Linked DNA regions of Elephas maximus indicus. The protein of the gene in region 3 purifies or fractionates together with the protein of the main gene of each other region. This does not show direct contact. Links are inferred from orthologs where the notes say so. Each region holds a gene or a part of one and is shown on either strand. Other genes may lie near its edges. The genes, in order: AGO3, protein argonaute-1 and DICER1.

Evidence for each region.
Region 1: the proteins of DICER1 (region 3) and AGO3 purify together in Homo sapiens (affinity purification with mass spectrometry; 3 studies listed by BioGRID and IntAct, with this or other methods). This does not show direct contact. The link is inferred for Elephas maximus indicus from reciprocal best matches to the Homo sapiens genes DICER1 and AGO3.
Region 2: the proteins of DICER1 (region 3) and protein argonaute-1 purify together in Homo sapiens (co-immunoprecipitation; 7 studies listed by BioGRID and IntAct, with this or other methods). This does not show direct contact. The link is inferred for Elephas maximus indicus from reciprocal best matches to the Homo sapiens genes DICER1 and AGO1.

What each region holds. Positions count from the first base shown.
Region 1 is NC_064821.1:77,289,874-77,293,618, reverse strand, and holds the start of AGO3 (protein argonaute-3), read right to left. Parts: upstream 2,327-3,745; 5' UTR 1,760-2,326; coding exon 1,741-1,759; intron 1-1,740.
Region 2 is NC_064821.1:77,242,962-77,246,706, forward strand, and holds the start of protein argonaute-1, read left to right. Parts: upstream 1-1,213; 5' UTR 1,214-1,432; coding exon 1,433-1,457; intron 1,458-3,745.
Region 3 is NC_064828.1:108,717,964-108,721,708, forward strand, and holds the start of DICER1 (endoribonuclease Dicer), read right to left. Parts: upstream 2,478-3,745; 5' UTR 2,387-2,477; intron 1-2,386. UniProt on the Homo sapiens protein: Double-stranded RNA (dsRNA) endoribonuclease playing a central role in short dsRNA-mediated post-transcriptional gene silencing.

The DNA.
Region 1 (3,745 bases), on a different chromosome or scaffold from region 3:
GCATTGTGAATTCAGAAGTATTTACTCTAAATTGTTGCCCATATATTTGGGCATAATTTCACATGAAAAACCCAAAGGTGAGGGGCGGAGAGAAACAGAAAATAATTTTTTTTTATATATCTTTAAAAGTTTTGGTATGATTATTATGATTAATAACTAAATGTTTAACTTTCATGTTTTGTTTTCCAGCTTTACAACAAGATTAACCAACCAGTTAACCAACTGCTGCCAAGTCAACTCCAACTCATGGTGATCCCATGTGTGTCAGAGTAGAACTGTGCTCCACAGGGTTTTCAATGGTTGATTTTATGAAATAGTTCACCAGGCTTTCTAACAAGATGCCTCTGAGTGGTCTCAAACCTCCAACCTTTCAATTAGCAGCCATTAACCATCTGTATCACCCAGGGGCTTCTATGAGAGAAAATTATGTAAAATAGCCCCAAATCATTGCACCTTTTATACAGTAAGAACAAAGAGCATGGTAGAAATTTCAAAACCAGGGCAGCTTCTGAAATACATGAATTAATAATAAAAGTGTCTCAAAGCTCTTCACAATCTAGGCAAACTTTCCATTTTTAAAAGGATGTGGAAGCTGATTTTAGAAAATTCCATGTAATAAAACTTGTAATAAACCTCCTCTCCATTTCACTCCCCCAATTTCTGAGTGCTTTTTGCATCTAATTGACAATTATACTCCTTATCAACAAAATTCTTTATATCATATTGAGGTACCTCTCAAACTGGCAAAAGAAAATGTGAAATTCAGAGACTCATAATACCATTTGTAACAAGATGTCCCCCCCCCAAAATTTTTTTTTCTTAAATTAGTTTATAAATTTGTGACCATCGGGATGAGGCATACATCCAAATTTAACATACCAAGCATCATCATTTGATGAACAAACGGTTATGTAACAGCTATTCTATGTCCCTCAAGTAATTACTTTAGAACCACACCATGTTTTTTGTTTTTTTTTTCTTTAAAAGAACTGCCCACATCGCAATTTTTTTCAAGACTGCTGTTTTCCCCAGGAGAGAAAGCAGTTTTCCTAAATTCCAAATTCCCAGGAAAATGAAAACTGCTTCTCTAGGGTACAGAGAATGGAAAAATATATATATTTTCAGTAATTTTAAGATCCACCTCCTCACATAAGCAGTGATCCAGGCTGATATGACATCTCCAAGCTACTCAGAACTATACACCACGCTGCCACAAGCATTAACAGATAACTAGGGGATGGAAGAAATGCCATCTTAAATTTGACGTTGCACCTAATACCTACTTCAAACATTTTTCCTCCGTTATCTCAATGTATCTTCACAACTACCTCAAGAGATAGGTAAGGGAGGTGGCTCGCCACCCAGAGACTGAACGGGACACACAACCCAGTTAGAGGACACGGACACCGTTACTTCTTCAACTATAAAAACAAAACCGATGGCAAACCGTTCCTGACTCGAGAACGAGTATTCCACAAAAAATGAGTAATATCGCCTAAACAACAATGAACTTAAATCTTTTAAGCACAGTTTCCCCTCCAGGCAGTTTAGCTAACTCAGTGGCCGCCGGAGAACTGCGGCGCGGATGCGGAGAGGCCGGGCGTGGGGGCGGGAAGAGGGACGACGCCCGGAGGGTGCCCACCTCGCGCACCTGGGCCGGGGTGGAAGGAGCGACGATGCTCGGCTCCGGGGACAACAGCTGGGTGACACCCCCACCGACCGTGCCCGGCCCAGACTCACCTGCGGAGCCGATTTCCATTCATGGAGCTGGGGGGAGTGCTCCGAGTGAGAAAAGCGCCCACCACTGGGGGCAAGGAGGCGGCGCGGGGGGCGACGCGGCGCGACAGACACCCTCACTCGGCCCCGGGACGGGGGCGGCGACTGCGCCTCCTCAGCAATTGCACTCCGAAAGCTCGCGTTAGGAAGAGCCGCCGTCGGGAAACCACACAGGACTAAACCAGAGGAAGGAGAGGTATGAGGCGAAAAAGGGGAGCCCGGTCCGGAACTTGCGTCGCCCTTGACTGCTTACGCTCCCACTGCTCCTCCACGACTGCCGTGCCACCGACCTCCCCCGGGGGACGCCCCCGGAAGCCCGCTGGCGTCAGTTCCGCTGCCCCGGCTCGCCCGACGTCGAAGCTTCGCCTCTCCGCCCCAAGCCGTGCGAGAGCGACGTCGGTGCGGGCGCGGCCGGCGCGGAGGACGCAGAGGAGGCGTCCGGGAGCGGGCGCGGAGCCTGGGCGGAGCCTCGGCCCGGGAGGAGAGCGGGGCGGGGCCGGCCCATCAGCGGTTCTCCGCTGGTCGTGCCGGCCGGAGACAACCCCGAGGGACGGGGCTCTTCGCGCGACCTTGCTGGGGGCGGGGCCTGCCAGAGGCGACGTCGCGGATGGCGGCGGAGCTTACCTGGGGAGGAGCCTACCTGAAAGCTAGGCCTGTCCAAGTAAAGGATCCGGACCTGCAGCTGAGACTGAGGCCCCCCCGGTTGAGCACGTTTGGTCCGTCCCTCCCCGCCCCCTAGTTTGGGCTGCCTCAAGTGCCTCCCCCTCAACAAGAGGTCAAGTGACCCGCACAATTGATTATCTCCCAAATCGGTAGGGTTGCTTTAACGACTTTTGGAAAAAGGTGATTAAGGAACAGGACATTACACAAACATCGGATCGAATAATTTCCACGTTTAAAACTCCTTAATACCGCCTTGACACTGAGAAAATCCAAACTCCTTTCCAGGGCCAAAACGCACTCCGTTAAGGGGCCCCTGCCTTTCTCTCCAAGTAAGGCTCTCCCTGATCATTTTACTACAGCTACACTGTTCAGCTTCTGATTCCCTTAACCGGCAAAGCATTTTGCTTTTCCGTCTAGGAGCCTGCTTTTGGTGCACTTGGCCAGGAACCTTCTCCTCCTTTCTCGCTTCCTTTCCAGTCAGCCCTCCTGCCCCCTCCTCCCCACCCTCAATTTAAGGCATTTTAGAGAGGCCTTCTCGGACCACTCAGCTATGTTAGGACGCTCCCTGTTATTCTATCTCAACACTTTCTTGGTAGCCCTTATTTCAATCTAATTATTTCACTAGTTTGTGTGGCCCCTTCCCACTACAGTGCAAGCCTCATAAGGAAACCAGAGCCAGCACACTGGCAAATATTTGTTGCCTGAATGAAACATGATACCATTTTATTTAGGCTGATTCATGGTTTTTTCCTACATCCCTAAATATCAAAAGATTTAGACTTTTTTTTTTTTTAATCAAAATACATTTTCTCAAAGCTTGAGAAGATGAAGGAGAAAAAATATCTTCAGTTCCCTCCACTCAACTGTGGGACTTTGAATCAGTCACTTGATGTTTTTGGGCTTCAGTTTCCTCATCTGAAAAAATGGAAAGAATATGTACCTTACACAGTTGTTGTGAGGTTTGGGAATATACATAAAGCACAGAGAAAACCCTCCCTAAATGTTAGTGGATACCCATAATATTTACTATAGTTATGATTTCTAAGCACTTATCAGATGTACCTACCATACGGTAAACAATAAGGGGATGGGATTCAAACCCACATCTGTCTGACTCCAATTGTGCTTCACTTTCTTCTTCCTTCCCACCTCTACCTCTGTGAAAGATAATGCCCTACCCAAATTTGAAAATTTCAAATCTGTCACCAGATGAAACTGTATCTGAAAAGTTTTTGAATCCTTGACTGTACACAACCCAAGTTGTGGTAGCAGCATCTGTCAGGGTAAATACCAACTCCTGTGTAAG
Region 2 (3,745 bases), on a different chromosome or scaffold from region 3:
CGGGTACAAGAAGCAAGGGAAAGAGAGGAATTGCCATTTCTATGAAGGTGTCATTCACTGAGACAGGAAACAGGACAAGCACGTTTGTGGGGGAAAGAGTTTGTTTTGGCAAATGTTTATGTATATATATTTACTACAATAAAGCAAAAAAAAAAATTTTTTTTTGTTCAGTTTTGGACTCCTTAAATACGAAGTGCTGATAGGCTATCCAGGTGGAGCTGTCCAGCAAACGCTTGGGAATATGAGACTTGGCTGGAGATAGAGATTTGAAAGGATAGTGGATGAGACCTTCAAGGGGAAAGTGGAGAGTGGAATGAGAAGAGAACGGGGTTGGGAACCAGGTGTACACTATTATTTAATAGAGCAAAAGCAAGAGAGGGCCCTCAAAGGAGACTGAAAAGGAATTGGACAAAATGGAGACCTCAGAAAATACAGAAGCCAAGTAGAAGATTCAAAAAAGGAGAGGCACGGATGATGTCAGATAAATAAGAACTGAAAATTATCAACTGGATTTCGGCACAAAAAGTCATTTAAGTGAGGTGATGAGGGTGAAAGCAGATTGGCGGAGTTACGGCGTGAGCTGTAAATGAGAAAGTGGAGGCAGGTCCTTCCCGAGTACCGCAGATAGAGCTCTGTCGCTGCACTTGAGTTGAGACTGTACATCTTTCAGGGTAGGCAGGCTCTGTTTCGTATCTCTGGTCTCAGCGCCCAGTACACGTCCTGGAAGACAGGGTGGCGTCAGTGAGTTCATCGACTGGGGACGGAGAAAGACTTTGCGGAGGCAGTCGCTTTGCAGCCGAGGCTTGAAGGATGAGGGTGATTGGGAGGAGAGGTGGGAGGCAGGGCTCCTGGGTGATGGGGCGCTCGAGTGTGTAGGGGGGGGTCTGGGTATGAGGTGGGGTCCCTGTAATATGCGCGTGGTCCTGTGTGAAGGAGGGTCTGTGTGTAAGTTTGGAGGGGATTATTTTGGAAAAAGATACAGGGCCGGAGGCTGTTGCGGGGGTGGGCCTCCCAGCCTCACTAACGCCGCTGCGCGGTTTCGCGGCGCCTCTACGGGAGCCCTCCCGCTGGGCTGCATGGCGACGGGTGACCACCAGGGGCCGCTGCCTCCGGTCCCCGGTGCCCCCGCCCCTCTCCATTGGCCTTTGTTGCCGTCGGAGCGCCCCGCTTGACTCGTTCCCGTCCGCCCCCTGGGCCTGGCGGCCGCGCCTGCGCACTAGCAACTGGCCGGGCGCTCGAAGGGGGAGCTGCTGCAGGCTCCGCGGCCGCGGCGGCAACGGAGGCTGCGGGGGCGGCGGTGCGAGCGGCCGGGCTTCGGGGGGGGAGCCGAGCCCGGCCCGGGAGCCCAAGCAGCTAAAGTGCGGGGTACCTAGGCCCCTCACGCTGGACTCCAAAGTCTCCAGGCCGCCTGACCTCCGCACGGGTATATGGGATGGAAGCGGGACCCTCGGGAGCAGGTAAGGGCCCCGGGGAAGGGGGGTGCTGTGCGTGCTCCAAGGACCAGAGAGCTCCCGCGTGAGGAGCGGGATTTCCGAGTGAGGGAAGGGCTCCTGAGTGAGGAGAGGGGCTCTCTTGGGATGGGGGCCCAGTTTGAAGGGGGCTGTGTGCAGTTCCGGGAGAGAAGACCTTGTGAAGGGAGCCCTGAGATGGGGGCCATTTGTAGAAGGAGGCTGTATGCAGTCCTGGGGGTGGGAAGTAATCTTGGAGAAGGCCCTGGTAGCACGCAAAGACTCGCGTATATCCGAGGAGGCCTAGGGAGAGGCCCGGCAGGTGGCAGGGGGCGGGCTCCAGGTGTCCCGGAGAGGAGGGGGCGACACAGATGGGCCCGGAGCAGCCGCATGCCGGGGGCGGGGGCTCAGCCTGGCTGGGCTGGGTTAGTGTCTCGGGGAGAAGGCGCCAGAGCTGGGCTGGAATCCCAGCCGCGGGATTCCCCCCAGTGAGTCTGGGGAGCCGGAGCAGAGGCGCCGGAGCATGCGCGGAGGTGGCAGCTGGAAGGGGCTGCCCAGTGTGGTGGGGGCGTGGCTGCCTGAGATCGTTCCCCCACCCCTTAGTCCCGGTTTGGCCTGGAAGAAGGAGCGAGCTGATGGGGTGGATTCTCTAACGTTATGCTGGGAGGGCCAAGTGGAAATGGTCCCTTCCCCCATCTTGGGGTCTCTTACACTTGGCCCTGAAGCCCCTCAGTCACAGTTTCCCAATTAAGGTTAAGAGAAACTGCCAAAGTGCTCCTCTTTGCCAGTAGAGTAAGGAAAGACTGAGACTAAAGCAGTGTTTTGGGGGGTGAAGGTGGGTCCTCCCTGAAGATAGGCCTTAGAAAAGGTGTTCGTTACTGAGGGACCAAGGCCAGGACCAAGTCTACCTGGAAGGGATTTTCTGCCTTCTTTGCAAGTTTCTGGGCCAATACTGAATAGAGATTGAAGCTTTTAATCCAAGGATGAGGACCTTTCTATTGAAATGTGTATTAAGGTGACAGCCTGATCTTTTCCTATACCTCAATATTTTCACGGTTCCTATACTTCACTGGTTATCTGTAGTCTTTCTTTCCTTTTCCCTCTCTCAACCCCCCAGAAACTGTCAGAGCCATGTCATTAGACTCTAGGTTGCTCAGCTAGGTCGGGAGGGACTAGGGTGGGAGATTTTAGCTTGCACCTTGGTGTACTGAGTTCCCGCTGATAGCCTTAACTTCTCCTTTTTTACATGCAAGCAGGAGAAAAGGAACTAAGAACAGAGGAGAAATGGAGGCAGGCCTCCCCAAGAAGACTAGGGCCCGCAGGATGATCTGTGGGGTATTGGGATGTCTTGTGTCCTAGGTCTCTTTCTTACCCTGTGATGGGAGAAAGAACATTCTGGATCCTGGAATTCTTTAGGTGACCTCTTATCACCTCCTTCCATTTGGTCTAGGAATGGAAATAGGATTTACTTCTCTGGTGGAAAGATCTTTGTCTTTTAGATCAAACCTTCTACCTTCAAGGAAATACCTCCTACGAACTCACTCAAATTATCCATTCAGTGATCTATAAATATTTAGTGACTACTCTTCTCCCGAAAAGAGAAACAACCTTACAGAGACTCTGTGGGCCCTAAGGTATGGGAATAGAGTTCAGGAAGCAACTGACTTCAGTGGTCACTACTTTCTCCCTCCCTTAGGTGCCTGTCATCATCTCAGGAGCTCTCTTGGTTTTCTAGGCTGGAGCCTGTTTGCAACAGCCTGTGGACTAGAGAAGTGCGGTGGGTCACAGAGATCCAGATGAATTTCTGAGGGCTTGCACCAATACCAACACCAGACTGCTGATGATTTTATCCTGATGAATTTATAATGGGCTCTGGAGTGATGGAAAAAGTTGACCTTTTTGTTTGTTACAAAAAATAAGGTTCTAGGGAAGGGACAAAGCCTGGTGTCTGCGGTAGCCTTAGGAAGAGCCTAGTGGGACAGGCTTCGCTTCATTAAAGGGTGTAATTGAAATTAGTTCTGGAAACTTCAGGTGGAGGAACCCCATAACTGCCTCCTTCCCAGGCTCAGACTATTAGGAGTTAGGGTGATGGCTTGAGATAGCCCGAGGACACACACAAACTGAGGCATTGTTGCAGGCCTCACTGGGCTTATGCCCAAGTATGCCAACTCTGGTCAGGTGCAGAGGCAGTGTCTGATTTATCTGTGGAACCAGCAACTGCCTAGCATAGGCCATGACACAGAGTATATTCACACTTGAACTGAATCATGTTCAAGTGTGAATATATATATGGTCAA
Region 3 (3,745 bases):
TCTCTACTTCCCAAATTAAAGCTAATTCATCTTTTCTTAAAATAGCATTTTGATGCCATGAGAAAATCCATAAACTCATGCTACCATTACCAATCTACCAGGCGCTCCCTGGCAACTCTATGGGGCAGTTCTACTCTGTCCCATAGGATCGCTATGAGTCGAAACTGACTCGACGGCACTGGGTTTTTGGGTTACCATTACCAATATTTATAACGATCATATTTAAAGCAATCTTTATAGTGCTTTTAATCTATAAACAGACGAAATTTATAAAAATACGGCCTGAAAATGAAATTTTGAAATAATTTTATATGTGTACATATAAATACAAGGAGTCATGGTGGCATGGTGGGTAAGTGCTTATACTAACCCAAAGGTTGACGGTTCAAACCCACCAGTCGCTTCGTGGAAGATGTGGCAGTCAGCTTCCGTAATGACTACAGCCTTGGAAACCCTGTGGGGAAGCTCTGCTGTCTTATCGCATTACTATATATAGACACGACATTTACTCATCTACCAACTGCCACGGAGTTGATTTTGACTCATAGCGTTATGACTCACTGTACATATACATACACAGCATTCACCCACTGCCATTGACTCGATTCTGACTCACAGCCAACCACCAACCTTTCAGTTAGCATCCCAATGCTTAAACACTGTGCCACCAGGGCTCCTGTACACGGCATACGTTACAGGTAATACACACGTACCGCAGCGTATTAAACCAAGCCAGACTCATTGCCCTGAGTCTGTTCCAACTCATGGTGACCCCATGTGTTACAGAGAACTCCTCCATAGGATCTTCTTGGCTGTAATCTTTACAGAAACAGATTGCCAGGCTTTTCTTCCGAGGTGCCACTGGGTGGGTTCCAACTGCCAATATTCACGTTAGTAACCCCGTGCTGTCAAGTTGATTCCAACTCATAGTGACCCTGTAGGTCAGTAGTCAACTGCAAAACCATTTTCGCCACGCAGGGACCTTACCACAGGTAGGCAGCTACTTTAAAAAAGATGCCTTCCAAAATAAACTGGTTATTCCAGAACCTAGCTCCCAAAGATATTAATATTAGTAAAACCACTATAGACTTGCAAGCTCGTTCAGAATCTTGTACCATCATCCATTTTTTAATAGAGCAAATTATTTGAGATCTTGGATAAGACAGTTTTTATTCAGAAATCAAATTAAGAGTTTAATGTTTGTACCAATATAACTTTCACTGTTTCAATTCAGCTTTTTTTAAAGCATATTAAAAGAAAAAAAACATTTTCGAAGTTACTTAACTCCTGACTTGTGCCCTTTTCCATTCGCTGAGCGTGCTGCACGCGAAAAACAAGCCACAAGAAGACAACTGCAAGATTGTAAAGCTTCGGAAGATTCAAAGACAAAAGAACCTGGATAAGCACAGACTTCAGAGGCACGTTTTTAAAATCTGGTAGTCATAAGAATATTTAGACTTAGGTAACGTGTCCTCTGCAGCATGACTTTCTTCACGAAAGCACCGACTGTGATCCTTGGAGCAAGAACTCTGCACGCATCTCCACGTGTTTACAAATATTCAGAACACTAAAGATACAGAAAGTGGCTTGTTAGCTCAGTACTTGTTAGCAGGCAAAGCCATCACAGAAGCTCAGCTTCTCTAAAAAGTCCACATAAATCAGTACTGCTAACTTGATTTCCCAAAGTTACAAACCCTTAGGAAAGTGTCCATCTACAGGGGCCAGGCATCCTGGCAGAAGTCATGCACAAAAACATGGGAGGGGAGGGGCAAAAAGATGGCCTAGGCCACTGGCCCCTGGGGACCCAGATCTGCTCGCCTGCCAGTAAACACAGACAACCCTTCCCGGGAGGGGCCCGAGGCTCCCGCTCTCCTGCCAGCACCGGGAGCCTCCTGGAGGGCCCCTGTCTACTCCGTGCTGGCCCTTTGGAAGGTGCCAGCGGAGGCCCAGCGCAGCGACCCCGAGCACAGCAGGTCCCCAGGATGCATTCGCGTCCCACCGCTGCTAATTCCTCCCCACCCTCATTTCTGTAACTGGACCTGTCAAGACCCCGGCCCTCCACCGGGCTGGGGGTCAGCGGTGAGCGCGGTACCGCATCCCCGCCCCATGCCAGAGCGGCCCCGGGGAGTCGCTCCCAAGCACCGCCTCGGGCGGAGGCGCGGGCGCTGGGCCTGTGCCAGTCCGGGGCCGAGCTAGACAGCGGGCGGCCGGGCCGGGCCCTGCAGGCCGCGCCATCTGCCAGCGGCGCCGGGGCAGCGAGCAGGCCCGAAGGCCGCGCTCGGGCCCGGGCAGGGCGCCCACGAGGCCTCGGCGCGCAGGCGGGAGCGGACCGGGCGGAGCGACTCCGCGCCCGGACACAAAGCGGCTCCGCGGGAGCCCGCCTCACCTGCAGCATGGGGCGCCGCGGGCCTTCGAGAACCATCGGACCCCGCTCCGGCGCGCGCGTCACAGCCCAGGCCGCCTGGGGCCGCCCGGCGCCGCCGCCGCCGCCGCCATTTCCTCCCGCTCGCCGTCGCCTCGTCCCCGCTGTCAGGTTACTCCATTCACCTGGGCCTGGAGCCGCCTGCGCCGCGCCGCGCCGCGCCTCCGCCTCAGCCCCTCCCGCCGGCGCCTGCGGAGACTGCGCAGCGCCCGGCTCGCCCGCAGCCCGCGCTCGGCCCACGGCAACGGCGCACGGCCGCTTGGAGAATCCCACTGGCACCCGCGCCGCCGCCGCCCCCTCCGCGCGCCCCACGTTCCGCGCGCCCCGCGGCGGCATGAGAGCCAGCCTGTGATTGGACGGAGCGCGGCGGTGAAAGGTTAATCCCGGCCCCCCAGCCATTCAGGAGCAGGGAGACAGCCGGCCGGGGCTGCGTTTGCGGCCCAGCGCCGGACGGGAGCCGGACGGGACCCGGGCGTTCCCCGCCTGCGGCCGGGCGGCGCGTTGGCTGCCTCCCCGGACCCGCGCGCGGAGGTTGGAGCTGCTGGCCCGACTGGCCCTCGGGAGGGTCTCCTGCCCCTCGGGACTCCGGTGCCTCCGTTGTCGCCCCCTCTGGCGCCCACGCCGGCTGGAGTTCTGCAGAGCTCCGCTCTCCTTCGCCACCTTCCTTCCATTGTAAAGCACCTTCCCACTCGCCTGCTTCCTCCCTGCGTTCGGCCGCGGGGGCCTCTGCTGCCCTGTTTGCTTCCCGGCGTCTTACTGCAGCGTTCGCGGTGCAGGCACCCCGCAGTTTGGAGAGAACAGACCCCCCACTGGACCCCCAGCCCTCTGGGAAGTGGGATAACCTGATGCTGAAATGGAGCAGCGGCCGCATGGGTGTCATTGGTTCCTTTGACTAGATCTGAACAAATCTACCGTACCCTGTAGCTGTGACTTGAAGTATGGATGGAGATGAAGTTAGGGGCTGCCTTACAGAAAATCCTCATTTGTCCACAAATGGAGACATCTCTAGGAGCCCTGGTGGTGCAGTGGTTAACGCTTGGCTGCTAACCCAAAGGCCAGTGGTTTGAACCCACCAGCGGCTCTGCGGGACAAAGAAGTGACAGACTGCTTCCATAAAGATTAGAGCCTTGGAAACCCTATGGGGCGGTTCTCTATCCTATAGAATCGCTATGAGTCGGAATGGACTACACAGCAACGGATTTGGTTTTTGGTTTTGTAGGCATCTCTTGAAAAGAATTCACCTGAAAGACTGGTTTACTCCCGGTGAGGTATAGTAGCAGCAACCATGCTTAGTAGCGGTTTTGTGATCCGTGGCTAACGTAA